Tamandua tetradactyla: one gene and its partners. The protein of the gene in region 1 purifies or fractionates together with the protein of each later gene. This does not show direct contact. Links are inferred from orthologs where the notes say so. Each region holds a gene or a part of one and is shown in the gene's direction. Other genes may lie near its edges.

Region 1 (7,012 bases):
AGCAGAGCCAAGCAGAGCCACGAGGCTGAGAGTCCATGCTGCAAGAGACATTTGGAGATGAAGAAGGAAAATGCCCAGGGGGAGCTCCATGAAACAAACCAGGAGAGAAAGCTGAGAGACTTCACCTTTCTGCTAAGAGAGAAACCCTGAACTTCATTGGTCTTTCTTGAGTGAAGGTAACCTCTTATTGGTGCCTTAGTTTGGACATTTTTATAGACTTGCTTTAATTGGGACATTTCCTTGGTCTTAGAACTGTAAACTACCAACTTATTAAGTTTCCTTTTTTAAAAGCAAAAAAGCAAAACAAAAAAACCCAACAACAACACAATTTCTTAATTTCTTGACAATGCTATAGCATAAATCTAACTGATCTCCCAACCTCCATGTTCAGACGTTCACAGCTCATCCTCCAAATCAGACCCCAAATACTTTTTAATATAAACCGAAAATATCCTCAAAAAATAAAAGCTCCTTTTTGTCATAATCATATTCTCATACAAAGACATAGTTCTGTAGGGTTTAAAACACTGATAGTTCATACCATGGATACTCCTCTGCAGTTATCCACAGTTCTGCACAGTGACTGCAAATATATCACTCCTGGACTTACATGTCCCAAGGTTGGTAAACATGGAGACATGCCATCCTTATTTCCCTTCAAGAAGGGACTGCTGCTCACCTGTGGGGAATGGGGTAAGCTAGCAGGGAGGAACAGGGATTGCATGGAAAACAATGCAAACAAACAAACAAACAAAAATTCTGTTTTGAAGAAAATAGACGTGATGTTTATGGTAGAGAAACTGGGGAGGTATGGGGAAGAGAAAGAGATTACTTTAGGAGTGTTGGGTACTCAGAGATGACATATGAGTTGAGACTTGAAAGAAGTCAATAATAAAAGACAAAGTGCTCCAGATAATGACAATGTGTATAAGCTGAGGCTGGAACCAGCTTCAAGTGCTCATAATGTGCACTTTGTTTCCAACTTTAGTATCCAGCATTGTACTTGGCACTAAACTAAACTAATTCTGAAAAACTGTGATGCTTGGAAAAGTTTAAATCTGTACCACCAGAGCTATACATTTATATTCACATGGTACCTAGTTTGATGAGATGCAGGAGTTGCTCGGAGGGCGCGCACACAGACTGAGGCTTGATTTCATTGATGAGGCCATTAGCAATGCTGATGTAGCCGTCATAGAGCAGCTGGCTAATGATCAGCTTGTAGAGTTGCTGGCGGTCCTTCAGGCCCACCTTGGTTCTATACATCTTGGAGAAGAGGAAGATAATTCTTCCTGTCAGCTGCAAGAAGAGATAAGAGGTAGATGGTGAAGGGGAGAGGCACTAGTAAATCACAGACACAGTAAATCAGACTTGTGGAGCTAAAATCCTAGCTCTACTATCTGCATTACCTTTGGTTAGTGTCCTCATTTCTCCAAACTTCAGCTATTAAATAAGTTACTGAAGGTTAAACGAGAAGGTACACAGAGAACATTGCACACAGTACCTGGTACACAGAAGGTATTCAAGTCATGTTAGCTGAAATTTACAGCAGACTCTCTCTTCATCAACTTATTCTTCCCCTTTTCTTTTCGGCCAAAGTTACCCACCTAAAAATTTATTCTTTATGGCTATCCCAGAATCTTTTATTTCTTCTGTTAATAAAAACACTGACTGTTGTTGTCAACAGGTAAGACAGCTGCTATTCCCTTGAAATATCTAGGAACTACTATTTCTACCAGCTTAGCCACATGCTTAAATTCATTCCTAAAATCTGTTTCATGACAACTGGGCTTATTGCAATTATATAATTTAAACCAGAGTATCAGGGCAAAAAGCTATTATTTCCATGAAAATGAAAGCAAACTGAATGCTTTGAAATGACTCAAGTGAACTGCTTAATATACTATTGGCATATAAGATACAGACAAAACAACTAAAAAATGGAAAAATTGTAAAAATCTGGAAGGACTGCACACCCTGATTGATTCACAAGTGTCTAAGTTCTCCTTCAAGCTAAAAAGAAAAACAAACAATAGAGTTAACAGTGGTACCTACTGGTATTCCTGTACATTAACAGGAGTGACTGGGGAGAAGGGAGAAGGTAGGGGTATCAAGCACGTTTTCTAACTACATAGTCCCCTCTGGAGAACCACTGAAATTACTGATCCTAGTAACAGCCAGCATTTACAACATCTTTACCATGTTTTTCAAGTTTTACTTTATTTAATCCTCAAACCATCCTATAATGGAGGTCCTGTAATCTTGTTTACAGATGAAGGGGGAATATAATTTTGCCAAAGATCTCACTAATAGTGTCTGGAGGAACCAGGACTAGGATGTAGGTGGTTTGACTCTAGAGTCTGTGTTGCTTCTAACTACTAGGTTGTAGTGTGCCCTAAAAACTTAATAATAAAGGCTAATAGTCACTAGACATTTAACACAGTATATAAAACACACTGTGGAAGCAACTTATGTGCATTAACTCATTCACACCTCATCCAGTATTATTTTAGAAATAAGCAAACTGAGGCCCAGAGTGGTTAATTAATTCACTCAGGATTAAATAGCTGTGAATGTCAGAGACTAGATTCCAACCCAGGCAATGTGGTCCCTGAGCCTGAGTTCTTACGCACCATATTACACTGACGAGTGTTTATGTAACATTTATGGAGCACTTCCTACGTGCCAGACACTGTGCTAAGCACTTTACAGTGAAGCTCATTGGACGGAATCAATAAATGCATGCAAATCTACGCATGTAGGAGCAAATGCTCTTAAGTCTATCTGCCGAGAACAGTGGGACACAATAGAGATGATGAAACGGGCTCAGAGAAATTAGGAAACCTACTCAAGGTAAAGTGTGCCTGGGTAACTCATCTGAGGTTACGTGGTCGTCAGGACGGTCCACTCCAAAGTCCAGAACTTAACCACCACTCCAACCTGTCTCTTCACTTCTGTCTGGGGCATCGTGAGATGTACAGGGACAATGAGAAAGTAAAAGAGAGGGCGAGACTCCGCTTCTCAACTCCTTTAGAATGTTCACTCGCCAGGCTGTAGGAGCCTCTTAATCACCACCCCTAATTTGCAGGGGAGAACACTGAGGCCCGAGGACAGGAATAACCCTACTCAGGACCGGTTACACAGGAAAGGGAGATCAGGACGCCCCTTCTGCACACGGCGCAACCATCCCAACGCAGAAGTTTATAAGGATGGGGTGGCGTGGGGCTGGGAGGTAGGCCCTCCAAAGGGGTGCGCAGGCCCAGCCCGGCAGCCCAGGAGCACTGACTCAGGGCGCACGCCTCCCCGCTCACTCTCGACCATTCCCACCTCGACCCAGTCCTTCCCGTGGGCCTCTGCAGACCCCAGCGGACAGAACCCGCTCCTGCCGGCGCATCCCGGGCTCCCTTACCCGCTGATCCGGCTCTCGCGGTCTCCCGCTCTCTCCCAGAAAAATGGAGGCGCGAATCTTGCCCGATCGATCGCTCGAAGCGCAAGTTCACTGCGCACGCGCAAAGGGCATAAAGCCGAGTACCGCGCTATCCATCGCTCCCACCCCCTCTCCGGCCCTCCTCGCCATCTGACTTACTGGCACGTTCAAGAGGTTCGGTTACCTGCTCCGACTTTATCTCCTGTACGACAGCCCCGATGCTAGAGGCTGCTCTCTTACGGGCAAATTTCCGATCCGGAGAGCACCACTGGCGATAGAACGTTCACGGGTTTGGTGGGTCGTTGGGGCCCCCTCTTCCGGGGCCCTTCGAGGCAAGTGCGCCTGCGCTTCGTCTCTACCTTCTCCTATGACTCAAGACAGCGAGTTCGTTGTTGACCAATCAAAAGGCAGCCTTCCTTCTAGCCTAGGCCAATCAGCGTCCGGAGTAGAGGGTTTAACTTGCATTTAAAAAGAAGAACCTTTGACTCTTAACGGCTGAGCTCTCTGTAGGACTCGGCTCCGTGGGTTCGAGACGGTGTCCGACGTGTGCGTGGACCAGTGGGGTCAGGTTTATGTGGCGGGTGTGAGGCCTGGGTGAGGGGCGGCTGATCCGGGCGGCCTACGAGCGGGTAGTGGGATCTGGCTGGAGCAGAGCCGAGCGGGCGATGGGGCTGCGGGGCGGGAGAGAAAGAATCAGCGCGAGAGGTCCTCCCTCCCTGCCGACTACGTGCCTCTGCGGCCTCATCTGTGCTCCATCTACTCGTGGGTTCCGAGGGGCTCTGTGAAGGTTGCTTATGGTTAACGCTAGAGGCAGATGGGGTTGTTGGGTGGCATTGGGGAAGGCTTTCTGCATGGATTCTCATATTCAGTGGGCACCTAGGTAAGGAAACCTCAGAGAAACTTCCGCTGTCTAGGAGTTTACTTTGGAGGAACGGGGAGAGAGACAGCAAACTAAACATGATTTCCAATTGTGACGAGTATTATGCAGGATGTAAAACAGTAGTATGGTTTAAAGGGGGCTACGTTAGATAGAATAGTCCGGGAAGGCGCTTTCCTGGCTGGATAAATGAATGGATGGATGAATGAATGAATGAATGAATGAATGGATGAATGAATGATAACCTCTACGCAGAGGCCTTCCGGAGCCCGTGCTTATCAAATCCTGGCCCTTGGACTCACCCATATCAGGATTACTTGGGGGTCCTTGTTAAAAACACAGACCCACGGCAGGTGGAATGAATCAGACTATTTTGGCGATAAAACCCAGGTGTCTACGTTTAACAAGGTCTCCAAGTGGTTCTGATATTTACTTCCAACACCTACCAGCCATCTGGGGATGTTGCTAAATGCAGAGTTTGTTAGGTCTGCGTTGAACCTGAGATCCTCAATTTCTAACAAACGTTCAGTCTTGACTTTTAATCATGTCTCCTCCTCAGGGTTCCTTGTTCCTTGAACTAAATGTTTTCAGAAGACACTCAGTTCCTCTCCACTCAGCCTCTTGGCAGATATTTGCAGGTTTCCTGTGGTGGGGGGAGGAGGGACAACTTTTTTATCCTAAACTCACAGGGCTATTAAATCTAACAGTTTTTCTGTTTAGAATTGCAGGATCTCTGTTTAATGGATTTTGAAAAGGCCATTTAGTTATGCAGTTTCCAAATCGCTGTAGATCAGAATCGCCTCAGGGGCTTTTTCCTGGGGACCCTCCCTGGATTTTCCGAATCAAAATCTTATTCCATTCTGTTTATTGTTCATCTTCCTGAGACAGAAACTATAAATAAATTCAATATGAAAAGAAAAAATTGGGATAAACATTGATAGCTTTGGTCAGAAGACTGTTGAATAAATATTATGAGGCTTATGTGCTCTCACAGTATTCTGCTACTAGGAATTGTTGGGAAAGTGAAAGTAATAGAGCAAGTTTAGAAAATAATGGTGCATAAAGTAGGCATGTATTTCCTCTTCTGTTTTTAGTTTATTTTTATCAACCAACTAAGGACTCTAGGTTCTTTAGTCCTGGCTCTGTCTTATGGAGTTATTTGCTTATTTTTGAAATGGATGTAGAAGCATTGAGGGTGGGGAAATCCTTTCTGATTAGATTTTAGTAGTCACAGAGCACCTGGGTAAGAAGAATACTGGTAGATTTCTGCTGTCTTGGTGTTTGTTTTACCTACTTGATAGTGTGGTGCCTGACTCATAGTATGGGCTTACAAAGTGTTTTAATAAACTATTTTTATTATTGATTTGCTTTAATTTATTCCCAGAACATTCATTGCCTACACTATGTGCTGTTCTAGGTTTCTTGGGCACAGTGGTGAGTAAAATGTGACTAAGCAAGCCCTCGCTCTTGTGGAATTTACTTTCTAGTGAGGGACACAGACAGTATATAAATATGCATATACTTTGTGTATGATGCTAAGGGCTATGAAGAAAAATAAGATAGAGATGGTTCTGGAAGGGGACATTTGAACAGAGAATAGCATGAAATGAAGGCGCAAGTGATGCATTTGGGGTAAGATCCTGATGGAGGAAAGAGCAAGTACAAAGGCCCTGTGGCAGGGGACCTTTTTGAGAAAAGATATACTGTGTGTCTGGTGTGCAGTGGACAGGAAGGAGGAGTGTGAGACTAGGTCAGAGAGATGGTCAAGGTTCACATTTTGTGGGACTTCATTGGTCTGTCCTTACCAGTTGGAACCTGTATTTCATTGAGTTGGGAAGCCATGAAAGTTTTGTGAATGAAGGATTGACATCTGACTTAACAGGATCACTGGCTGCAGTGTTGAGAATGGGTAATAGTGGGGCAGAATGAGAGGAGGAAAATCATTGGGAGCCAGTTGCAAATAGTCCAGGGAGGGAGGACTGTGGTCTTACCAGGTGGTGGTGGTAGAGGTCATATTCTGAGGGGATATCTGAGAACAAGAATGGGGAGGTGGAGATGGGAAGGATCGTGAGTTCACCTTGGGACATGTTAACATCGACCCCTTAGATAATCAGATGGAGATGCGAAAGTGGTAGGATATTTATATCTGGACTGGAGATGGAAATTTGGGAATTTTCCACCTATGGATATTATGCACAGCCAATAGACCAGATGAGCTCTCCTGGAGAGTGAGTATAGGAAAAGAGAAATGGTTTGGGAAAGAGACCAGCACACTCCCATGAGTAGAGAGTGGATAAAGAAGTTTGGAGGAGAGAAGAGGTTCCATTTTTGATGTATTAAGATTTTGATGCCTTTCATACCTTTCTGTGGGGTCCAGAGCAGGTGGTTGGATCTTTTGAGTCTGGTGGTCAGAGGAGAGATTAGGCCAGAAGAGGTTAATTCGAGGTATCCTGATAAAGATGTTCAGAGCAATGGCATTGGGTGAGGGTCCCTAGGAAATGGTTGTAGATGGAGAAGTGGGGGTGGGGATCCAAAGACTCATTCCTATATTATCTCAGGCATTTTCAGAGTGGAAAAGAGGGTGAGAGTGGACAGCTAGTGAGGTAGGAGACAAATCTGGAAGGTAAGTGAAGAAAGATGTTCAGGAAGAAATGATCAACCTTATCAAATGCTGCCTAGAACGCAACATAAAATGAGGGTGGAGAATT
Region 2 (7,953 bases), on another chromosome or scaffold:
CTAGTGCTCATCGTTTTTATTGAATTTCTCAAAGAACCAACTTTTGGGTTTTATCGATTCTTTTGATTGTTCTTTTGTTCTCCCATTTATTTATTTCTGCTTTAATCTTTGTTATTTCTCTTTCCCTATTTGCTTTGGGGTTAGTTTACTGTTCTTTTTCAAGTTCTTCCAGCTGTGCTGTTAAGTCCTCATTTTTTGCTCTTTCGTGCTTTTTAATATAGGCATTTAGGGCAATAAATTTCCCTTTCAGCATAGCCTTTACCATATCCCATAAGTTCTGACAAGTTATATTCTCATTCTCATTCATCTCCAGATAGTTGCTGATTTCTCTAGCAATTTCTTCTTTGACCCATTGGTTGTTTAAGAGTGTGTTATTTAATCTCCATATATTTGTGAATTTTCTCGTTCTTTGGTGGTTATTGAGATCCAGCGTCATCCCATTGTGATCAGAGAAAGTGCTTTGAATAATTTCAATATTTTAAATTTATAGAGACCTGTTTTGTGCCCCAGCATATGATCTATCCTAGAGAATGTTCATTGAGCACTAGAGAAGAACGTATAACCTTGTGCTTTGGGGTGCAATGACCTATATATGTCTGTTAGTTATAATTCATTTATCAAATTATTTAACTTCTCTATTTCCTTGTTGATCTTTTGTCTTGTTGTTCTATCTATAGAGCAGAGTGGTGTATTGAAGTCTCCTATATTATTGTTGAAACCTCTATCACTCCCTTCAGTTTTGTCAATGTCTGTCTCATGTACTTTGGATCTCCTTGATTGGGAGCATGAACATTTATGATTGTTATATCTTCTTGGTGAATTGGCCCTTTAATTAGTATGTAGTGTTCTTTTTTGTCTCTTATGGTGTCTTCACATTTAAAGTCCATTTTGTGTGGTATTAGTACAACTACTCCTGCTTTCTTTTGGTTACAACTTGCATGAAAAATATTTTTCCATTCTTTCCCTCTCAAACTGTTTTTTATCCTTGTGTCTAAAATGAGTCTCTTGTAAGCATAATACAGCTGGATTATGTTTCTTAATCTATTCTTTCAATCTGTATCTTTTAATTGGTAAGTGTAGTTCTTTCACGTTCAAAGTTACTACTGAAAATGTGCTTCTTTATTCCACCACCTATCTTTTTTATTTTATTTGTCAGATCTATATATTATTTTCCTTCTTTCTCTTTGTATTTAAAAAATTACTCTTAGTGGTACTCTTCAATTCTGTGCCCTTCTCCAGACCTCCCTCTCCTGTTTTTTTTTTCTTTCAACCGGCTGAACTTCTTTTAGTATTTCTTGTAGGGCCAGTCTCTTGTTGACAAATTCTTTCAGTTTCTTTGACTGTGAAAACATTAATCTCTCCCTCAATTGAAGGACAATTTGGCTGGGTATAGAATTCTTGGCTGGAAGTCTTTCTTTTTCAGGATTTTGAATATATCATACCACTGCCTTCTCACCTCCAGGGTGCTAGTTGAATAGTCTGAAGTCAGTCTTATTTGATTTCCCTTGTATGCAGTAGATTGTTTTACCATTGCTGTATTCAAGATTTTCTGCTTCTCTTCAACATTTGACTGACTGATTAGTATGTGCCTTGGGGAGGCCTAAAATTAGATTTATTCTGTTTGGAGTTCTTTGGGATTCTTTGACTTGTATATTTGTGTCCTTTATGAGGGTTGGAAAGTTTTCCCCCATTATATCCTCAACCACCCTTCCTAGCCCTTTACTCCTCTCTTCTCCTTCTGGGACACCAGTGATTCTTATATTTGTGTGCTTGTTTTGTCTATCGCTTCTCTGAGTTCCCATTCAATTATTTCCATCTTTTTTGCCTTTTGCTGTTTTGAGTCTTTGAAGTCAATTATCCTGTCCTTTATATCTACTATTCTTTCTTCTGTCTCTTCAGATCTGGTGTTGTGTGCCTCTAGTATGTTTTGCATTTGTTCAGAGTCCTTAATCTCTGTGACATCCACTATTTTTCTATTTATTCTTTCAAATTCCTCTTTATGCTCTGTCTTTTTCTACTTCTACTTCTACTGTCTTCTTGATCTCCTTTATGTCATTTGCTATTCCACTTATTTTATTAAGTAGAGTTGTATGAACATCTTTGATTAGTTTTTCCAGTGTCTTTGTCTCCTCTGGTGTTTTAATTTGGTCATTAGGTAGGGCTATATCTATCTGCATTGTGATATGTTTTATGATCTTCTGCTGTCTTCATTGCATGTAAATATCTTGATTGATTTACTTTGGGTGTTGATTTCCTTCAGTAGTCTAATGCCTTGTGTTTATGGGATTGTTGTACAGCAGGGAGCAGAGCATGGAGTGGGCACTCTGTGTGGTGATTTGTTTCAGGGAAGGTATAGGCACAGGCTGGGGATGTTATGCTGATGCTTGTGAACGTGGGTGCCCAGCAGCTGAGGAGGATATAGCTGTGAGGATGCACCAGTCTGGGGGGGCAGGAGGCGTAACCCTGGTGTGTGCTGGAAGAAGGCACGGGGCCCTTTGTACACATGTGTAGAGCTGTGGCAGTGGTTGGCGTTATGCCTTCATGGATTGGGGGCTGATATGACCTGGCTGCTCAGGTCAGCATTTTCTCAGACCTGGGAAATGTGGCTGAGGGCCATGCGCATAGGGAGTTCTAGGGCTGCTGTAAAGTGCGGTTCCCAGAGCCGAATGACATGATTGGGGGTTCGTGCGCATGCGTGGGTCTGCGAGTGCCATAAATAGATGCACAGAGCTTAGGCAGGGTGGAGTGAGGCTGTGCAACACTATGGGTGGGGGGGTCGGGGTAGCCTAGGTGTGGAGGTTAGTGCCTGCAGCCTTTATGCACTGGCAATAGCCTGCAGGGAACAGTGAGGGGGAGGCAGTGCTTGGAAGGTGTGCAAGAGAGGTGGGTTGGGCTGCACTTGGGCTGGGGGTGTGGGGCATGTATGTGCACTGGGAGCTGGTGGGGTGGGGGTGCTTGGAGTGTGGGGAATGGGAGTGGGTGACGGGGTTCGGGTGCATGGAGTGTGGGATGAGTTGCCGTTCACAGGGCTGCGCCAGTGAGGGTAGCGCACCCAAGGAATGCGGCCTGGCTTACTTCCTAGTCCCAGGCTCCTGTCCATGCACACCCATGGACTCAGTGGCTCTGCGCATCCAAGCCACGCTCCAGCTTTCTGCCTCTCAGTTCCTCGGCCTCTGCAACCAGGGCTGCTGCATGTAGTGCAGAAGGCTCTCCCAAGTCAGGAACACTTTCGAATCGCCACCTTGGTTGCCCTCCTGTCCCTTCTCTAACTTTTCCATGGATCAGGGCTAAGCTCGAGCTAGTCTATTTGGCCATTTTCCCTGAAGTCAGTACCAATCACATTTTGCAATTAAATATTTGCTAATTTACATTTTTTTTGTTTCCCCATCAGACTGTAAGCTCCCTAGTTGTCTTACATCTGTCTTATTCACATCATAGGTACTATATACCTCTTTGTTGAATAATGAAGAAATGAATGCTTGTGGGAGGCATTAACTCTGCAACAAACTTATTTTTTAAATTAATTTTATTTTGATACAATTTCAAATTTACAGAACAATTACAAGAATAGAACAAAGCACGTCCCCCAGAGACCTCATTAAAGTTTTGCCAATTGTCCCCCAAATACATGTTAGAGCAAGAGGAGAGTGTCAGCTATTATTGGATTTTCTAACAATATCCCAACAGGTCTCTCAGCTGCAACCATTTCCTCTGCCTTACCCCATACAGAACCAGAGTGATTCTTTTAGAACAATTTAGAACATATTTCAACTCCACTCAAAATTCTATAATAGCTCTCCAGTCTTGTATTTTCTAAAGACTCTGGAAGCGCTCCTGTCTTAGCACTTCCTATTGAGGACTCCACATCTGCTCTTGCTGATCAATTCCCTCAGGTATCTGTGCGGTTAATTCCCCAGCTTTTTTTTTTTTTTTTTAATACATTACCCTATCTCCTTAATCCTTTTTTTTTTTTTTTTAATAAAAATCACTTTCTAATAATATGGTTATTTTTGTTATTTTTTGGGCGCATGGTCCGGGAATCAAACCCTGATCTCCCGCATGAAAGGCGAGCATTCTACCACTGAACCATCCGTGCACATTCTATATGGTTATTTATTATGTTTAATGTTTATGTTGTCTTCCTCTGCTAGACCGTAAATCCATTTTGAGGGTAGGGAGTTTTGCTATTTTATTTGCTAACTACCCTAAACCCTTACGATCATACTTGAAACACAGCTGATGTGCAATAAACAGTTGTTAAATGAATGAATATTAAAGGCATGCAATATGCCAAGTACTGTTCTTGGCGCAAGGGATACAACGAGAAAATCTATGCCCCGTGGGACTCACATTTAAGTATGCTTAAACCAGCCAGACTTATTTTTCCATTTTGGCCCCACCGCTTATTCCCTGAGCAATTTTGGACAAGTTACTTTAAGCTCTCGGTTTCCTATGAATTAAATGTGATGAGAATTGATTTAACAGCATTTATAAAGCATTTTGCATAAGAAATGTCTGGATATTTTCCCCCTTCCTTCCGGGCAGAAAGATTGGAAGCCTGACATCTCTGCCACAGATTTGGTGGTGGTTGTTTTTGTTGTGCAGATCCATGGATTTCTAAAATTTTTATTCAATAATATATACAATCTAAGATGTAGGCAAAGTTTTCACAAGGCCTTTGAAAAGTGTAAGCAGGTTATCATAGTCTGGGGGCCCCAATTTTAAAGTGACTTCAAGGTGAAACAGAGAGTGGTGAAAAGGGTCGGAAACTGCGTTTTGCATCCGAAAAACCTCGTTGGGTTCCTCGAAGTGAAAATCCCGAAGGAGGGAAGGGAAGGAAAGGAAAAAAAAAAAGAGTAGCTGGCCGCGAAAGCACACTACAAGTCCCAGCAAGTCCCGCGACGACAACTATGGGTCCCAGCAGGTATCGTTCGCCGACCGGAGGCCCTCCTCCCTCCCCCTACCCGCCGCGGCCCCGAAGGGCCTGCAGCCCGGGTTCAGCCAAAGAGGGCGTAAGGCGCACGGAGGGAGCCAAGAGAATCGAGTCAAGCTTTAACTTTGCTGCGCAGACGCCTCTCATGGGCCGGACGTGACGTAGGAAGAGTTCCGGCTTCGGCATCCGCCGCTGCCGCCGCTACAACATCTACAGCCGCCGCCGCCGCCGCTGCGGTTTGTACTTCTAAAATGGCGCCACTAGACTTGGACAAGTATGTGGAAATAGCGCGGCTATGCAAGTACCTGCCAGAGAACGACCTAAAGGTGAGCTCGTTGAAGCGGGCGTCCTGCTTGCTGGACTCGCCTCGTCCGGCAGTAGTGGGCCCTCCGGTCCTCCTTTCCTCCCTCGGCGGGACCCTTGCTGTGGAGGGTCCAGCAGGGCGCAGAGTGAGCAGGTTCGACCTGGTGTTACGCGGGGAGCCGAGCGAGCCTGCGTCTCAGGAATGCTGTTCAGTTTTCTTCAGTGGGGATCCGCAGGGATGTCGCGGCCTCTGCCCCAGAGTTGCCCCTCCTGGCTATCGGACTCCGAGCCCTGACTGCGCTAGTTATAAGACCCCTCTCCTCCTCCTACTTCCGGGTCTCCCATAATCCAAACCAAGCCCCAGGCCTAGTGTTCTTGGGAGGGGGTCGTCTCGAACAGAATAGATTGGAGCTCCGGGTGGCCGGCGTCTGACAGGAGATGCCGCCTGCGTCCCAGAACGCGGCCCTGGTGTGTTTAGGTTTCTGAAGCATCGGAAGACGATGGCCCAAACGGTTTGGTAGTGATATGGGAGAACATCAGGTCATCCCTCTCTCCTCACCATCCTCCCGAATTGCGGGTTTGTAATGTTGGTTTGGTTGTTTTAATTCGGATGTGAATCCCCTTTCTGGGTTATATGTTGAGTTAAATTTAAGTCGATAAAGTAGTAGGCCCTCAATAAGTACACATATTTCTCTACTCTTTAAGTCGTTCCTCCCTTCTTACCTCAAGTTTCCACTTTCTTGGTTTTTAGAGGTGGTGTGTTTTTCCTTGTTGCTGCAAGCCCTATTAACAGAAATGTTTGCATGAATTGGTGTACAGCTTTTTTTTTTCTTCCTTGCGTGGGCAGGCGTCGAGACTCGAACCCGGGTCTCCTGCATGGCAGGCGAGAATTCTGCCATTGAGCCACTGTGGCTCGCCCGGTATACAGCTTTTTAAAGAAGTGTTTCTGTGTGCTTGCTAAAAGCAATGCTTAGATGTCTGCAAGTGTTTACCGTGTAGGGCAAGTGCCTGTTTTACTTCAGTAAACTTTTATATTATGTGGTGAGTGGGTAAACTGTTGACAGTTCCGCTTAGTGTTTAATCTGAGTTTAAGGTAATTTACTTTGTTCTGTGAATATTTTCTCTTAAGGAGGAGATACTTGCTTTTTTGTTTTCCTGTCTTGTCCAGGAAGTTGATACTTAACCTGCCTTAGTCAAGAAGTATTCCAAATGGTTAAGGTCACTTGTGCTGTTGTGAATGTAACTGAATGGTTACATGTTGATTATATGTGTTGTATGATAGAAAAATCTCTCTTGTGCATTTCCCCTTTTTAATAGAATAAATTAATTTAAATGAGGACAGAGAAATAGTAGTAGTAATGTAGCTTTCGTGCTCTTAGAATCCTTCAGATATTAGTTTTGTGGTTTGATTTCTTTTTTTAATATATTAGCCATGTGATTTTATTTATTTATTTAATTTTATTTTTTGTGTGGCTTCTTTCTGCTATGTACTTTTTCATGAGACAAGAACACAACCAACATTGGGACCCAATTCATGGAAATTTACCAGACCTGTTTGGTACAGTTGTTAATCCCATAGGTGAAGTTGATAATTGCATATCAATGAATTGAGATGATATTTTGTTTTCTTTTTATCTATCATATGAGAAGCTGTTTTTTTCCCCCTGGTGTGCGTTTGTGTTTGTGCACGTGTATACACATGGACATGGACCAAGAATCAAACCCAGGTCTCCCACATGGCTGGAGACCTCCGAACCTGCTTGTGTGCTCTGTGAAGTTGTTTTGAGTTTTATTTTATGAATAATAAAATGTCGCTTGTTCTTATGAAAAGGTGTCTTGATATTGAGTTGAAACTGAGTACTGAAATGATTTGAAAAATAATCAGTTGAAGTTTCTTCAGGCCTCTTAGATGGATAAACATTAGATTCCCTTTCCATTTTAAGGAAATATAGTTATTAAGTCATTTCGTTTCTGCTTAAAATACAGCTGAACTGTGGTTTTTATCTGTTTCTTAATAAACTTCTTGATCTGGAAAACTACTGAGAAAAAAGTTATTTTTCTGTTTAATTAGAGCTTTCCTTCTATGTCTTAAAACTGTTTTTATGAGGTTACTTGTGCTGCTCATCTCTGGTGTGTTTAAAGAAATTTAATTTTGTTTCTGTTCCTTGGCATGAAGTGCAAACTAAAATAAAGTAGGCCAGGAAAGTATTGCAGTGGCACCTTTTCAGAGGTTTTAAAGCCCAAATAAAAGGTTATTTCAGAGGAAGAAAAGAGACCATTGGGGCCACCTAATGACCATAGTGGAAGAAAGTTGTTTTGGTAGAAAAGAAGGTAACAGGAAGTTACCCATGTTAGTTTTTGTTTTTTAAAAAGTATTTTTATTGAGAAATCTTCACACACATGCAGTCTATACCCATGTTAATCTTAAATTGACTAGACGTTGGAGGTACTAGATCAGATAGTAAATGCATAAGATGTTTTGGATCTAATCAGGAGGTCTCTGTATTTGAGTATTTGGTTTTTTTTTTTTGCATGGGCGAGTACCAGAAATCGAACCCCTGTCTCCAGTATGGCAGGCGAGAACTCTGCCTGCTGAGCCACTGTGGCCCAGATCTCTGTTTAAATTGAAAGTGATCAGATCACTAGTTACTGGATTGAATCTACTTTCTTTGAAGGAATAAGAATGAAATATGTAAAAATGAGTGGACAAAGTATAA
Region 3 (6,975 bases), on another chromosome or scaffold:
AACTAGTACATGACATTCATAGCAGCTCTATTTATAGTAGCCCAAAGTTAGAAACAACCCAAATGTCCATCAACAGATGAATGGACAAGCAAAAAAAGAATGCAGCACTGACATGTGTGACAGCATAGATGGATCTTGAAAACATTAGGCCAAGTGATAGAAACCAGTCTCAAAAGGGCAGTAATATGACTCCATTTATATGAAATGCCCAGAATAGGCAAATACTCTGAGGCAGGAAGTAGGTTAGTGGTAGCCAGGGGCCAAGGAAAGGGGGCCTGAGGATGTCTGGGTGTGAGGTTTCCATTTGGGGTGATGAAAAAGTTCTATATCTAGACAGTGGTGAAGGACGCACAACACGTGAACATGCTAAATGCACAGAATTGTTCACTTTAAAATGGTTACAATTTCAATTCCTGGTGCCTGCCCATGCAAAAAATAAAAGGTTATGATGATAACTTTTGCACCACATATATTTACCACAATAGAAAGAAAAGCTGCTGGGCCACTCCAATAAACTCCCCTGGTTGGTGCACTTCATATGTGCTGTCATAACTCTTTGCTGGGGAAATGAAGCACATTCTTGGGACTCCTTCAGAGAGGAGTCTCAGAGATGACCCTGAAAGCTGGCACTTGAGTTCCCCAGACATCACCCCATGTGCCTTTTCCTTTATTGATTTTGCTCTGTGTCCTTTTGCTGTAATAAATCATGGCCATGAGTCCAACTATAAGCAAAATCCTGTGAGTCCTAGAGGATCATAGAACCTGGGGGTGGTCTTGGGGACTGTGCTGGTTGGAAACTGTTAGGTACCCCAGAAAAGTCATGTTCTTTAACCCAATCTTGTGGGGCAGACCTATTTTGGGTGGGTCTTTTTGATTGAGTTGTTTCCATGTAGATGTGACCCTGCCCATTCAAGGTGAGTCTTAATCTGTTTCCTGGAGTCCTTTAAGAGGGAGACATGTTGGAGAAAAACACAGATACTTGAAGAAAGAAAACTCCCAGCAGAAGCCAGAAGAACCCACAGGAGCAGAGTAAGCCATTTTTTAAAAAATAAAACGTATTGTTTTAAATTTATTTATTTATTAATTAAAAAATTAACAACAAACAAAAACATTAACATGACCATTCCATTCTACATATATAATCAGTAATTCTCAATATCATCGCATAGTTGCATATTCATCATTTCTTAGAACATTTGCATCAATTCAGAAAAAAAAAAACAAAAACAGAAAAAAAAAGATTATACATACCATAGCCCTTACCCCTCGCTTTCATTCAGAGTGAGCCATTTTTGAAACTAACTCAAGAAGAAGGGCCAGCAGACGTCGCCATGTGCCTTCCCCTGCAGCACAGGAACCTGAACACAACTGGTCTTTCTTGATTGAAGGCATCCTCTTGATGTCCTAATTTGGACATTTCCATGGCCTTAGACTTGTAACTTGTACCTTAATAAATCCCCTTGTAAAAGCCAATCCATTGCATTCCAGCAACTTTAGCAGACTGAAACAGGGACCCCCCACACAAAGTGAAATTCCTATTGTATTGTACTATACAATAAATAGTACAAAATATTGCTAAGTTGATTCAAAAAGACTTAAATAAATGTAAAGATATACCATGATTATGATGAGAAACTCAATATTGTTAAGATGGTAATACTCCAAGAACTGAACTATAGATTCAATGCAATCCTTAGCAAAATCTCAGCAGAGGTTGTTTTTGTTTTTGGTAGAAATTGACAAGATTATAATAAAAACTATATGGAAATTCCAAAGACCAGGATAGCCAAAACAATTTGAAAAAAGAACAAAGCTGGAGGGCTTAGGCTACCTTATTTTTAAAATTTCCTTAAAGCTAGAGGAAACAATATAGCGTACAATTGGCATAAGAATAGGCACACGGACCAATAGAATAGAATACAAAGTTCAGACAAAACCCTCACATTATGGCCAATTGTTTTTTGTTGTTGTCCTTGAAGTTTTTAATTTACAATTTGCAAACTTGGACAAAGGGACATGCAGTTTCCAGCAACTTGGATACTAGCTGGACAGGTGTTCTGCTCCCCAGTGCGTGCCTAAACAGCCAAGTCCCAGAAAAGATTAATCCAAGTCTTTGGTGCCTGAGTTTTACCAGAGCCAACCAAGTACACAGTCAGCTAGCTATAGCCTAGGCCACTTGCAAGCAAAGACAGCATTCCAGGGAAAATAGGATAAAGGCTTATCAAAAAATAGAGTGGTAAACACAGAAGAAAGCATCTTAGCTGGAATAAAGGATTCTATTCAAACCCAAGCAGGGTCCACGTTCTTTAAGGGAGAAAAGGTACAAAGCAACAGCAAGTAAAGCTACAGCTTTCACTGTGGCATCCATGTCTAGTTATAGCGAAAAAACTCCAGTCCACCTTTTACAGTTTTTTTTTCCCCAAAATTCCTGACATTAAGAAATAAATTGAAATGTATTCATATTTCACTCTTACATTTCAATGACAAACAGAAAACAATTTACACGAGCAAAAAACAAATAAAACAAAACAAAACCAAAACCCAAACAACAAAAACAGAACAGAGAGAAGTTTACAAAACTAAACAGTGATCTCAGCCTTAGCAGCTGTAACCAAGGAGGGCATGAAAGCATTTAATGACGAAAATCACGAGTAGATGATAAAGTGTGCAGAAGCAGAACATTTATAAACCATTGAAAACCTGGCATCGCTGACTGCTGGGTCCCTACACAGCAGGACCGGGTCGTGGGGACCACGGGCAGGGCTGCGGGGGGCGGGGGGGGGGAACCTGCCCGCGTGCGCTGCTCCCCGGGCTCGGTCTCTGAGAAGAGAGGGGTAGGGACAGCTGCCAAGCCTGACGCTGGGGGCAGGTGCAACAATGGGCCGCCCCCAGCCGTAGGTCCTGCCGCTGGGTCTACAACTATGACCTGCGCCCTGGACATCTGACCGGTGCGTTGCCCGGGGCGCCTTGACGCGCGACTGTGCAGCGGGCCGGGTCACGCCGCAGGGGAGGGCGGGGACGGGAGTGGCGGAGGGGTCCAAACCCGCACTGAGAAGGCGCCGCCGGGACTCCCAGGAGCACCAGGCTGTGCGTGGTCTCAGGTGGTCGGGCCGCTACAGGGGGGCTAGGGTTGGGGACGCTGCTGCGTGGGGAGAGCTCGCCTGCTCCCGCCGGGCCGCACCTGCACTGCCCACCTGCCAGGGCGAGCGGAGAACTGAACCGCTTGCGGGCTCCTGCCGGGTACTCTGGGCGGTGCGCGGCCACGCAGCCGCGGGAGGAGGGTGGTGCTCAGCAAGGCTGGGGAGACTAGCCTCTGCCGCACGGGCCTAAGCCCTGGGCTCCCCTGTTTCCTCCACCTTGCGCCCACCTTTCCCACTGAGGGAGCCACTGGACTAGCAGGGACCGGCAGCCTCGGGGGGCAGCGGGGTACCCGCACGACTATGCCACTCTTCCGCGGTTAGCGCTACAGCAAAGGCCGTAGCCATGGCGCCCCGGGGCGGGCGGGCAGGACACGGCCCTCCCGCACTCTCCCCGCGCGTCTTTTGAATTGTCTCCTTTCTTTCCGCGTGACACTGCAGGCTTCTTTCCGTAGGAGCGGGATGGTGAGAGTGACATTTACTCCACCTTCCACCACACCGGCGTCCCTCCAGCACCGTTCTGTGGAGCTAGACTTGGAGTGGACGAGTCTTTGGCTAAGGGTGGAGGAGAAAGGCTACGCGGGATAAGGGTAGCGGACGGGGAGGGGAGGGCGGAGTGGGGGGGAGGAGGAGGAGGTAGGGGAAGAAGAGGATGGAGGTGGAGGTAGAGTGGGAGGAGGAGGGAGTACGAAGAGAAGGGGATGGAGGAGGGGGGGAGGGAAAGAAGGGGGAGGGGAAGGGGAGGAGGAAGAGAGGGGGAGAAGGAGGGGGAAAGGGTAGAGGAGGCGTTCCCTATTGCCGACGTAACAGATTGCCTCAAACTAGTGGCTTAAAATAATGCGGTATCTTATTTCACAGCTCTGGAGGCTCTAACCCTGAAATGGGGTGTGGGCGGGGCTGGTTCCTCCCGCAGGTTCCTTGCCTTTCCTAGCTCCTGGCCTGTCCTTCTAGGCTTGTCGCCCTTTCCCTCATCCTTCAAAGACAGCTAGACTTCAGGCTGGCTCTCCTGTCGTCTCACTGTCTTTTCTGCTCCACCTCTGCCTCCCTCTTGCAAGGACCCTTCCAGCAACGCCACTTGGTAATCTAGGTGAGTTGTTAAATTTGCAATATGCATATTGTAACAGATGTGAATCATGCCACAGTAAGGCTGGCAAAAGCGAAAACATGAAAAATAATTTGGGGTTTATAGATAACATATAGGTTACTCTATTACATGAACTGTAAGATGCACATTTTTTTTTCACAATTTAACATCTGAAATCAGGTTATAAGCACACAAGAAAGTGTTCAATGCCATTCATTATTAGAGAAATGCAAATTAAAACCATAACAAGATACCACTATCCATCCCCAGACTAACTTAAAAGTGTGTTCAGGTGGTGCAATGGTGGCTCAGTACCAGAATTCTAGCCTGCCGAAAGAAAAAAAGGTGTGTCTGTACCCACCATGGGCGAGGATATGGAGCAAATAGAACTCTCATACATTGTCATTGGGGATAGAAGCATTTTCCCAACGATTTTGGGGAAAAAAAGTCTTTAAAAAGCTAAACGTATACTTGCCCATGACTTAGCAATTGAATTCCTAATATTTAGCCGGGAGAAATGGAAATGGATCTGCACAAAAACACTTTTTCTGAGATCTTCATAGTAGTTTTATCGTAACTCCAAACTGGAAAGAGCCCAGCCACAGAATAAACTAACTGTGGTAGATTCACAAAATGGAACAATAAACAGCAGTAAAAAGGAATGTTTCAAAACATTCTAAACTCACTCATCTTTGGTTTGCTGATTCTTTCTTCTGCCTTTCAGATCTGTTTTTGAGCCCCTTTAATGAGATTTTCTTTTCAATTATTGTTCTTTTCAACTCCAAATGTTTATTTGGGATTTTTTTCCCCCTACTTTCTCTTTCTCCATTGAGATCTCTATTTTTTTTTCACCTTGATTTTTGAAGCATAGTTTTGCTGGATGTAGAATTTTCTCTTTGACATATATTTTCAGCACTTTGAATGTGTCACTTTCTCCCCTGGGTCAGCTGTTAATGTGTCATTGTTCTTTCTATGTGAAAGTCATCTTTCTCTGGCTGCTCTTATGACTTCCTCTCTTTGGCAAGAGCAGCTTGATTGCGATGTCACAGGCATGGCTCTTCCCGTTTGCCCTACCACAGGCTTATGGAGCTTCTTGGTTCTGTAGATTCATGTTTTTCTTCACATTTGGGAAATTTTTGGTCATTTCTTCACAATTTTTTTTGTGCCCCTTTGTCTTCTTTCCCTTTTCTTCTAGTACCCTCATTACATGTCTGTTGGTATAGCTGATGTTGTCCCACAGATCCCTGAGGCTCTTAAAGTTTTTCTTCTTCTTTTTCTTTTTTTTAACTGTTTTTCAGTCTGGGTAATTGTTATTGCTGTATCTTTGAGTACACAGATTAATTATTCTATCATATCAAGTCTGCTGTTGAGTCTATCTTGTAATTTTAAAATTTTCGTTATTGTACTTTTCAACTACAGAATTTCTATTTTGTTTTATTTTATAGTTTATATTCCTCTGTTGAGGGTCTATATTTGTTTACTCATTGTCATCATATTTCCCTTTAGTCTCTGAACATGTTTTCTCTCTCTCTTTTTTTTTTTTGCATGGGCAGGCACCGGGAATCGAACCCGGGTCCTCTGGCATGGCAGTCGAGCATTGTTGCCTGCTGAGCCACCGTGACCCTGAACATGTTTCTACAATTGTTTGAATGTATTTATAATAGCTTCACTGAAATCTTTGCTAATTCTAACATCTTAGCCCACTTACAGTCAATTGCTATTGGTTTTTTGTTCTTTCAGTGTGTGGGTAACATTTTACTCTTTTATTTTTGGATGGTTAGATATATGCTTTATTTATTTATTTTTGTTTGTTTGTTTTTTTCATCATGTTCATTTCTTGGAACATTTGCATCTATTCAGAAAAAGAAATAAAAGGAAAACAGAAAAAAAATGTATACATACATACCACTTACCCCTCCATTTCATTGGTCACTAGCATTTCAAACTAAATTTATTTTAACATTTGTTCCTCCTATTATTTATTTTTATTCCATATCTTCTACTCGTCTATTGACAAGGTAGATAAAAGGACCATCAGACACAAGGTTTTCACAATCAGAGAGTCACATTGTGAAAGCTTTATCATTATATCTTCAAGAAACATGGCTACTGAGGTACAGCTCTACATTTTCAGGCAGATCTCTCCAGCCTCTCCATTACATCTTGAATAACAAGGTGATATCTACTTAATGCATAAGAATAACCTTTCAACTCTATTTGGAATCTCTCAGCCATTGACACTTTGTCTCATTTCGCTCTTCCTCCTTTTGGTCAAGAAGGATTTCTCAATCCCTCCATGCTGAGTCTCAGCTCATTACAGAATTTCTGTCCCACATTGCCAGGAAGGTCCACACCCCCGGGAGTCATGTCCCACGTAGACAGTGGGAGGGTGGTGAGTTTGCTTGTTGTGTTGGCTGGAGAGAGAGGCCACATCTGAGCAACAAAAGAGGTTCTCTTGGGGGTGACTCTTAGGCCTAATTTTAAGTAGACTTGACCTATCCTTTGTGGGGTTAAGTTTCATATGAACAAACCCCAAGACTGGGGGCTTGGCCTATAGCTTTGGTTGTCCACACTGCTTTGAGAATATCAAGAATTCAACTTGGGGAAGTTGAATTTTCCCCCATTCTCACCATTCCCCAAAAGGGACGTTGCAAATACTTTTTAATTCACTGTTCAAATCACGCTAGGATTTATTGGGGCATCACTCTGGATAAACCCACAAAATCTCATGTCCTACTCAAGGTTCCATGTACT
Region 4 (7,952 bases), on another chromosome or scaffold:
GACACAGGTTGAGCGAGAAATGAACTTTTGTTGTAAGCCACTGAGATATGGGGTCACTTTGCTATGGCAGTACAACTTAACCATAACTTATGCTATCATTACTTCAGGATTTTGTTACAGGTAGTGTATTAGTTAGGGTTCTCTAGAGAAACAGAATCAACAGGGAACACTTGCAAATATAAAATTTATAAAAGCGTCTCACGTGACCGCAGGAACACAGAGTTCAAAATCCACAGGGCAGGCTGTGAAGCCAACAACTCCGATGGGTGGTCTGGATGAACTCCACAGGAGAGGCTCACCAGCAGGAGCATGAATGGAACCTGTGTCCTCTGAATCCTCCTTAAAAGACTTCCCGTGATAAGCTTTAGCATCACTAATTGTAGAAGACACTCCCCTTTGGCTGATTACAAATGGAATCAGCTGTGGATGCAGCTGACGTGATCCTATGAAATGTCCTCATTGCAACAGACAGGCCAGCACTTGCCCACTCAGATAAGCAGGTACCACAACTTGGCCAAGTTGACACATGTCCCTAACCACGACAGGTAGTCAGATAAAATTTCTAACCAACAGCACCCCTGCCCTCCACCCCTCATTACTAGAGATGACTGTCACTTGTTCCTGAAAGGGCCTAAAGCAGAGCTAATGCACATCTCCTTTGGCTGCCAGGCAGCCTCTCAGGTTATTTTCTGGCAGTCACTCCCCCCAATCTGTTTCACCCTGTTTCCTATCCATGCTCTCTCCTGAATCTCCTTTGGGAAACTAACTGCCCCTCACCCAACTCATAGCTGAGTAGCTGCTGTGAGATTGACCCAGGTGGATACTGACATGGAAATGGGGTTAGCTTGTGTGAGGAAAAACCTGGTGCCAGTATGGCTATAGAAGGGGACTGTATGGAGAACGGGCTGGAGGATAGGATGGGAGGAAGGTGAGGCTACAGAGGGTATCAGGACCCAGAGCATGAAGGGCTTTGTGGTTAAAGATCAAGAGCCTGATGGGTCCCTGGACCAGATAAGTCCTGAAACCTAGAGGGGCCAGCCTCTCCAGAATATCAACTAGTCCCATCTCCCTACTCCATATTACTGACAGCTCCTTCCAATATGAAAAATTAGAATGGCCATAGCCCAAATAGCCCTAAAGAGTGGGTTAGAAATATCAAAGGTGATGGTGGAGTTATACAGAGAAGGTAGGGTTTAACAAATGAGTATGATTGCTGAATACTGGTATTTCTTTGAGTCTCCAGTATCTTAGAGCAGCTAGAAGTAAAAACCTAAAATTGCAGCATTGTAACCCACACCAAACTCTGAAATCTGTTCTACAACTAATTGTTGTGCTGTGCTTTGAAATTATTGCTTTTCTGTATATACATCATTTTTCACGAAAAAGAAAAAAAAGGCGATTGTGATGATAAAATATTTATTCCTTCTAGCCTCCATTGTTCTGGAGCAGCTAGAAGGAAAAATCTGAGGTCGTGGTATCATATCCCATGACAAACTCTGGGATCTGTCCTGTAACTACTTGTTGAAGAGTGCTTTGAAAACTATTGTTTTTTTCTTTCTTTGCTTTGTATATATGTTAAATTACACAATAAAAAAAAAGTAAAAAAAAAAAAAAAAGATCAAGAGCCTAGATTTCATTCTACAATCACTGGGAAGCCACTGATGAGATTTAAGCAGTAACGATATGAACTGACTTAGGTATTATAAAGTCATCTGGCAGCTGTGTTTAGTGGTTATCAGTCTACTTATTATTATATATAAAGTACTCAGAACAGTGCCTGGCATGTAGTAAGTCCTTTCAACGTAAGTTGTGATTGTTGCCCTTGTGGAGGAGGTAGGAGCGACAGTAGGAGACGTGAGGAGCTATCAAGTGTCTTGATAAGATATGATGGTAGCCTGGGCTAAAGCAGTACAATGGATAGGATGAGAAGTGATCAGATTGGGAATGTAGTTTTCCTATTATTATAATTCTCTAATCATGTAGTAAGGATTTTCCATTTGCATATGTAAACCAAGGTGGGTTGTGGTTGTTGCAGGACAGAGATGTGTTCTGTGAGTGGGATCAAAGGATGGGTTAATGGGCTAGATTGGGGGCTGTGGGACTAAAGAAAAGAAAGGATCACAGATGACTCCCAGCTTGTATATTCAGTTCTGCAATGTCTGACCCCTCACCTGTCCAGGAGCTCTGTCGGAAGGTGAACTAGATTTGTCAGGGTTCTCTCTGCCCAGTAGGGGTTTACTTACTCCAGGAGACACTCAAAGAGCTGTCAAATGAATGAATGGTGCCAGAGTGAAATATTTTAAAAAGCAAGCTTAAAGCCTCCCCTGTACCTTTCTTGCCCTGCATCAGGGTTCCCCAAGGACAGCTAAGACACGGACTGCTAGGTTTCCTGGGGAGCCCTTCTGAAATGTGTTCCTCCAACGAATGTTTACTGAGCACCCACTATGTGTCAGGCACTGTTTTTAGGCACTGGGGTCACAATAGGGAACAAGACAGAAAAAAAAAGCCTCTGCCTTCATGGAACTGACATTCTAGTGAGGGAGTTCATGTATGAATGCATCAAATATGTGATATAGTGATAAGTGTTAAAGGGAAAAATGAAGCTGGAGGAGGCTTGGGAGAATATGGGTATGTCTGGGGAAGGTTTAGATCTTATATAGGGTGGTGGTCATAGAAAGCCTCACTGAGGTGATGACACAAAGGGAAGAACTTTCCAGGCAGAGGAAACAACGCAGGCAAAGGCCCTGGGGTAGAAATGTGCATGGTATGCCACAGGGATATCAAGCCGGCCAGTGTGTTGGGAGCAGTGAGCGAAGGAAGGAGATGAGATTATACAATTATGCCCTGCTCTTGTAAGGCACTGTAGGCTGCTTTCTGCCCGCTCCAGCCCTGTCTTCTTGTCTTTTATGGAGCGAGGGGAAGCCAGGGGAGAGAACTGAGATGAAGAAAAATTGAATTTGACTTAGGAGTTAACAGGCGCCCTCTGGCTGCATGCAGGGAACAGACATGTCAGGAAAAGTGTGAAGAAAGGGAGACTGTGAGGAGGCTACTAAAATAGTCCATCCAGAAGGTGATAATGGCCAGGACCAAAATGGGGGCAGGACTGGGGGTTATATGCTGTCAAATTCCGGACAGATTTTAAAGGGTGAGCCAACAGGACAGCCATTTGCTGATGAACTGATTGAGTAATGTGTCCTCATCCAATCAGCCTAAGTTCACCAGGGACAAACCTGATCCACAAAGTTAGGTTTATTTATCATGGCAATGAGAAAGAATGCACACCAGAGGTTCTGTGGGGAGTCTCACCAAACCAGAGTTATTATTGGATTTGGGAGAAGGATGAAATTCAGGTGAAATGTAAATGAGAAGTGTTTGAATAGCTGGAAGCAAAGCAGAACTATTAACATCGGGTCTACATTTATTGTTTTCAGGTCTCCTTGAAAGCAATAAAGTTAAGATAGATGTGGAATATTGTGACCAAAGCTCCTAATCTGACACTCTGAACCTGGATTGTAAATCGAGGTTGCTTCTCTGTGTCAAAGTGATTTAGATTCTTCTGGAAAAAGTGATGTTTCATTCTTATTGCTACAACTGCAAACAGCAAGGTCTGTGATAGTTTGAGAGCAAAGTTTCCCAGTAAGAAAGCAGCAGTCACTCAAAGGGGAGTTGTGTCACTTTATGGCTGGAGCAGCATGTCCCTGGGAGAAATGTATTTTTTCCTATTAACTTTGCAGCTGGCATTTCCCACGTCTGTTATTCCAGCCAAATAAATCGGAGGGCAGTTTTTTTTGTTTTGTTATTTTTTTACAGCACAAACTAATTTTTACTTTCCCAGGGGTGAGTAAAAAGAGGTAAGGATGATTCTAAGGTTTCTAGCCTGAGCAACTGAAGGATGGGGTAAGCTATTGAACAGGTGCACCTAAAAGCCTGGACCAACCTCACTTTTCCCTACAGAGCCGCCCTACCCCCACCCCTCCGCTTTCAGCAGTCTCCTTGTAGTACCTTTAGTTTATCGCCTACCCCCTGCTGTTTCACGCATCTGTACATTTGCAAGTTCGATGTTTACTTGCAGCCCGCAATACGGACTCTTCACCTTGCTAACTCCTACTTGTGACCCGCCTCAAGCTGGACCAGGTGCTCCGCCCCTCCCAGGGCCCCGCTTCCTATCAAGCCCCGCCCCACTCCTGCAGTCACTTGCGAAGCTCACTGGGCGGTTGCTGGAGCAGTTCGGAGCCCGGCAAGACCTGGGCAAGGCGGTCCAAGCCCTACTGAGTTTAGCCAGGTTAGCGGTCGCACTTTGCTCCTCGCGGGGGCCGCCGAACCCGGCCCGGCTCGCTCCCTCTCCGCCTGTCTCACGTGACGGCCGCTGGTCCCTCCTCACGTGTTGCAGCCGGAAGATGCCGCCTAAGACGCGCCATGCTGCCTTACCCGAGCTCCGCCTTCATCAAGTGGTGAATGGGGAAAGTACAAACATGCAAAGCCCGCCATTTGCTGCCCAGCTCTTTATTGCAGTGGCATCACAGCATTTCTGAGCCTGCGCCAACCAATTCGACTGGCTCGTCACTCTCTTTCGGCTCCACCCTGCGATTACACATCCGGGTGACAGTCACGGTGTGGGTAGTCGCCGTGGGTAGGCAGGCAGCAAAAAGCGAGGTGAGGCGGTTATGGCCTTACCCTTGCAAAAATTAAATCCTGTTTATTTCAGTGAATGATAAAAAGGCAGAATGGTCCAAAACCACCAATACGCTAAATCCGAGCATTAAGTAAACCCGAACCAAGGCCCCTTCCTTCCGAAGGCGGTGGCAGTAGCAATAGCCCCACCCTGTCCGAGGCTACGCTACTCCTTTAAGCCCTTATTGGTCGAAAGGGCCGCCCGGCAGCCCCGAGATTGGCTAAACCCGCGGCACGCCGTGTCCAATGGGCGCCGGCTCCGGCTTTCCCGCGGCGGTTCGCTATTCAAGTGAGTCGTGGCTGCGGCGGTTGGGCGTGTAACGGTCGCCCGGCCCCGGCGTGACGATGGCGGCCTTGGGACTCGCAGGCTACGCGCGGAACGACACGGGAGAGAAGCTGCCATCCGTCATGGTGGGGGTTCCGGCGCGGAGGAACCAGTCCTCCCCGCCCCCGGCTGCCCCGCTCTGCCTCCGGCGGCGGACTCGACTCACAGCGGCGCCCGACGATACGGTGCAGAACCGGGTGAGGATCTATCTGCCTTTCCCACCCCACTCCCAGCTCCCTGGGCCCCCGGGTCCAATGTTCAGCTCTTTGGCCACACCTATCAGCCTCCGACGGGTCCCCTCAGGTTTCTCCCAGCCCCGCCTCATCTACTAAGACCCGCCCCTTCAGAAAGGCTACTCCCATTTTTCGGTATCTTTTTCTCACGGGCGCTGCCCATCATTCCTGGCCTCGCTTCTCAACCCTTGGCCCCACCCACAAGCCTCTGGGTTGTTCCCGGCGTTCCTTTCCAGTCCCATCTCTCCGAACACCTTGTCTCTGCAAGTCACCTTCTCATCACGCTTTATGGGATTGAGCTCCAGTTGAACTTTAAACTCTCTCCCGAACTCCACCACTTTGTTGACCCCGCCGCGCCAGGTCTTTAGGGGTTTCGGCCCAGAGTCCTACCCGTCTCAGTCTCAGGTCTCCCCAGCCGTCCGTCAACCCCTGCCTTCTTCCTTTTCCCTTACCAAGATGGAATTCCATATGGCCACTCAAAACTATAGAGAGGATGCTAGTAATATTCTAAAAATCTCATCAGTGCCAGCTGCTGGGGATGGGGGTGGGGAGGGGGGAGTACAGAATACTTTCCTAAATCTTGAGTACAGAAAAAAAGAGGCGATTTTAGAATAGGTTGAATTTCCCCCAGCAAAGCAACATGTGTAATCTGTTTTCATAAACAATAACCTGACCATTATGTTTTAGGGAGATATGAAGAAATTGTGAATGTGACCTGCTGGGCATAGTGCATGGCATCAGATAAAGGGTGGATAAATGGTAACTGTTGGTGGACCTTGTTCCTGCTCAGTAGCTCCCTGCTATATTCCAAACATGTTGCCCATTCCTGCTTGCAAGCCCCTATGCAAGTGGGCCCCTGCCCACCTCTCTGGCTGTAGCTCCCCTGGCATCCCTCTTACCAAGGTTCAGTCACACTGACTTGTTCTCTGTTTCCTTGAGGCTCTCAGCTCTCTCCTGCCTTCCAGCCCTTGTGTTTGGGCCTTTTTGCTGCGGTCCAAAGCTAGCTCCTTATCTTTCAGGTCTCAGCCTGAATATTCTTACCTCCAAGAGGCCTTCTTGAATCCCAATCTAAAGCAGATACCCACCTTAGTCTCTCACCCAGCGCCCTGTTCTTCATGGCCCTTTCCTTGTATGTTCCTGAAAGTGCCTTGTGAGCTCTTAAACTATGTATAAATGTAGAGGAATAACAATAGCACTTTCAGAGTGGCCATATAGCAAAGTGGCAAAGAACACAGGTTCTGGACCTAGACTGTCTGGGCTTATGCTTTAATTCTATTCTTCCTAGCAAGTTAGGAACTTTTCTGTGCCTCTGTTTCCTCATCTGTAATGAAGATAAAAGTATTAATATGCCTTGTAGGGCATTTGTGAGGATTAAATGAGCTAACATACCTGAAGCACTTAGAACAACTCCAGGCACGTTGCAAGTACTCTGTTAGTACAGTTAGCGACTACTGTTATTGTTATTGTGTATTTTGGGCAGCACATCATTTATTTTTCTTTTGGCAGCACAGTGTAGATAAGCAAAAGATTGTCTAAAAATGATCAATTATACTACTGCCCAATAATGCTTAATGGTAAGTGAAATGACATGAGTGACAGTGCTGGACTGCCTGGTTAGAATCTTGGTTCTGCTCTTTCTTGAATGGGTAACCTGGGGCTAAAGTTACTTACCACTTCCGAGTATCCCTCTCCTTATCTGTAAGATGAGGATGGTGGTGACAATGGTAACTATGTTACAGACTTATTTAAACGTTGGATAAATTAATAGAGTTACAGGTATTTGAATAGTGTCTGACTTCTGATAAATGCTCAGTATTAACATTACTTGTTACCTTATGGTAACTTTTTAGTTCTGATACCATGGACTTGCCTAAGAGTGTTTTACTCTGTATAATTAGGAACTGATCTAAATATGAAAGTAGCACAATTCCAGTTAATCCCTACGCTGTAGGGATTGTAGTTAAATAGGGACTTGCCCGTTTCACCTACTTGCTTAGAGGGTTTTTAAATTTGAAATTCTAGACTGTGAGTTTGATGAGAAAATGGACAGGGTCCACTTTTGCTCAATGTTGTATCTCCATTACTAGGCCCAAAGTGCTGTCTTTGGAGCCAACCTACTTGGGTTTATATCCCAACCTTGCCGTTCCCCAGGTGTAGGACCTTGGGCCTCTAGTGTCCTTATCTGTAAAATTGTGGTGACAATAGTGCCTTCTTCCTTAGATTGTTATGAGCATTCAGGTCTTTAATCTATATAAAAGTATTTAGAAGTTTATTCCAGGGTCACCTTCTCAGTGAGGCTGTTTCCCCTTTCCCCTGTACTCTCAATCCCAATCCCTGCTTTATTTTCTCTATATTTGTTTTGTTCGTTTTCTTTGTTTTCCCTCCCCACCATCACCAGAATGTGAGCTCCAGGAAAGCAGGGCTTTTGTCTGTCTTCTTCACCACCTTGTACCCTTCATCTAGCAGTGTATTTCTCAAAGTAATGTTGAGAACAAACATTAGCTGCTGATAGCTTGACTGCAGAAGCTCAGTGAGTGTGTGTCAAATGCAGCAGAGACTGAACGGGACTGAGGCAGCTGTGATACTGCTGGGGCAGGTGCTTCTGACTTGGACCTTTTTCTCTGCAGGTATCACTGGAGAAAGTGCTTGGCATCACGGCCCAGAGCAGCAGTGGCCTAACCTGTGACCCCAGCACAGGCCATGTGGCCTACCTGGCAGGGTGA

The links.
Region 2: the proteins of AURKA (region 1) and PPP6C purify together in Homo sapiens (affinity purification with mass spectrometry; 4 studies listed by BioGRID and IntAct, with this or other methods). This does not show direct contact. The link is inferred for Tamandua tetradactyla from reciprocal best matches to the Homo sapiens genes AURKA and PPP6C.
Region 3: the proteins of AURKA (region 1) and PPP6R2 purify together in Homo sapiens (affinity purification with mass spectrometry; 4 studies listed by BioGRID and IntAct, counting the BioPlex papers as one, with this or other methods). This does not show direct contact. The link is inferred for Tamandua tetradactyla from reciprocal best matches to the Homo sapiens genes AURKA and PPP6R2.
Region 4: the proteins of AURKA (region 1) and WDR62 purify together in Homo sapiens (affinity purification with mass spectrometry; 3 studies listed by BioGRID and IntAct, counting the BioPlex papers as one, with this or other methods). This does not show direct contact. The link is inferred for Tamandua tetradactyla from reciprocal best matches to the Homo sapiens genes AURKA and WDR62.

What each region holds. Positions count from the first base shown.
Region 1 is NC_135327.1:28,992,219-28,999,230, forward strand, and holds the start of AURKA (aurora kinase A), read left to right. Parts: upstream 1-4,001; 5' UTR 4,002-4,092; coding exon 4,093-4,189; intron 4,190-4,195; exon of another isoform or gene 4,196-4,307; intron 4,308-7,012. Other genes in the region: CSTF1 (cleavage stimulation factor subunit 1), read right to left, coding at 1,098-1,266. UniProt on the Homo sapiens protein: Mitotic serine/threonine kinase that contributes to the regulation of cell cycle progression.
Region 2 is NC_135328.1:47,350,910-47,358,862, reverse strand, and holds the start of PPP6C (serine/threonine-protein phosphatase 6 catalytic subunit), read left to right. Parts: upstream 1-4,953; 5' UTR 4,954-5,184; coding exon 5,185-5,259; intron 5,260-7,953.
Region 3 is NC_135333.1:45,678,154-45,685,128, forward strand, and holds the start of PPP6R2 (serine/threonine-protein phosphatase 6 regulatory subunit 2), read left to right. Parts: upstream 1-3,969; 5' UTR 3,970-4,224; intron 4,225-6,975. UniProt on the Homo sapiens protein: Regulatory subunit of protein phosphatase 6 (PP6). May function as a scaffolding PP6 subunit. Involved in the PP6-mediated dephosphorylation of NFKBIE opposing its degradation in response to TNF-alpha.
Region 4 is NC_135342.1:29,895,067-29,903,018, reverse strand, and holds the start of WDR62 (WD repeat-containing protein 62), read left to right. Parts: upstream 1-4,945; 5' UTR 4,946-5,016; coding exon 5,017-5,193; intron 5,194-7,856; coding exon 7,857-7,948; intron 7,949-7,952. UniProt on the Homo sapiens protein: Required for cerebral cortical development. Plays a role in neuronal proliferation and migration.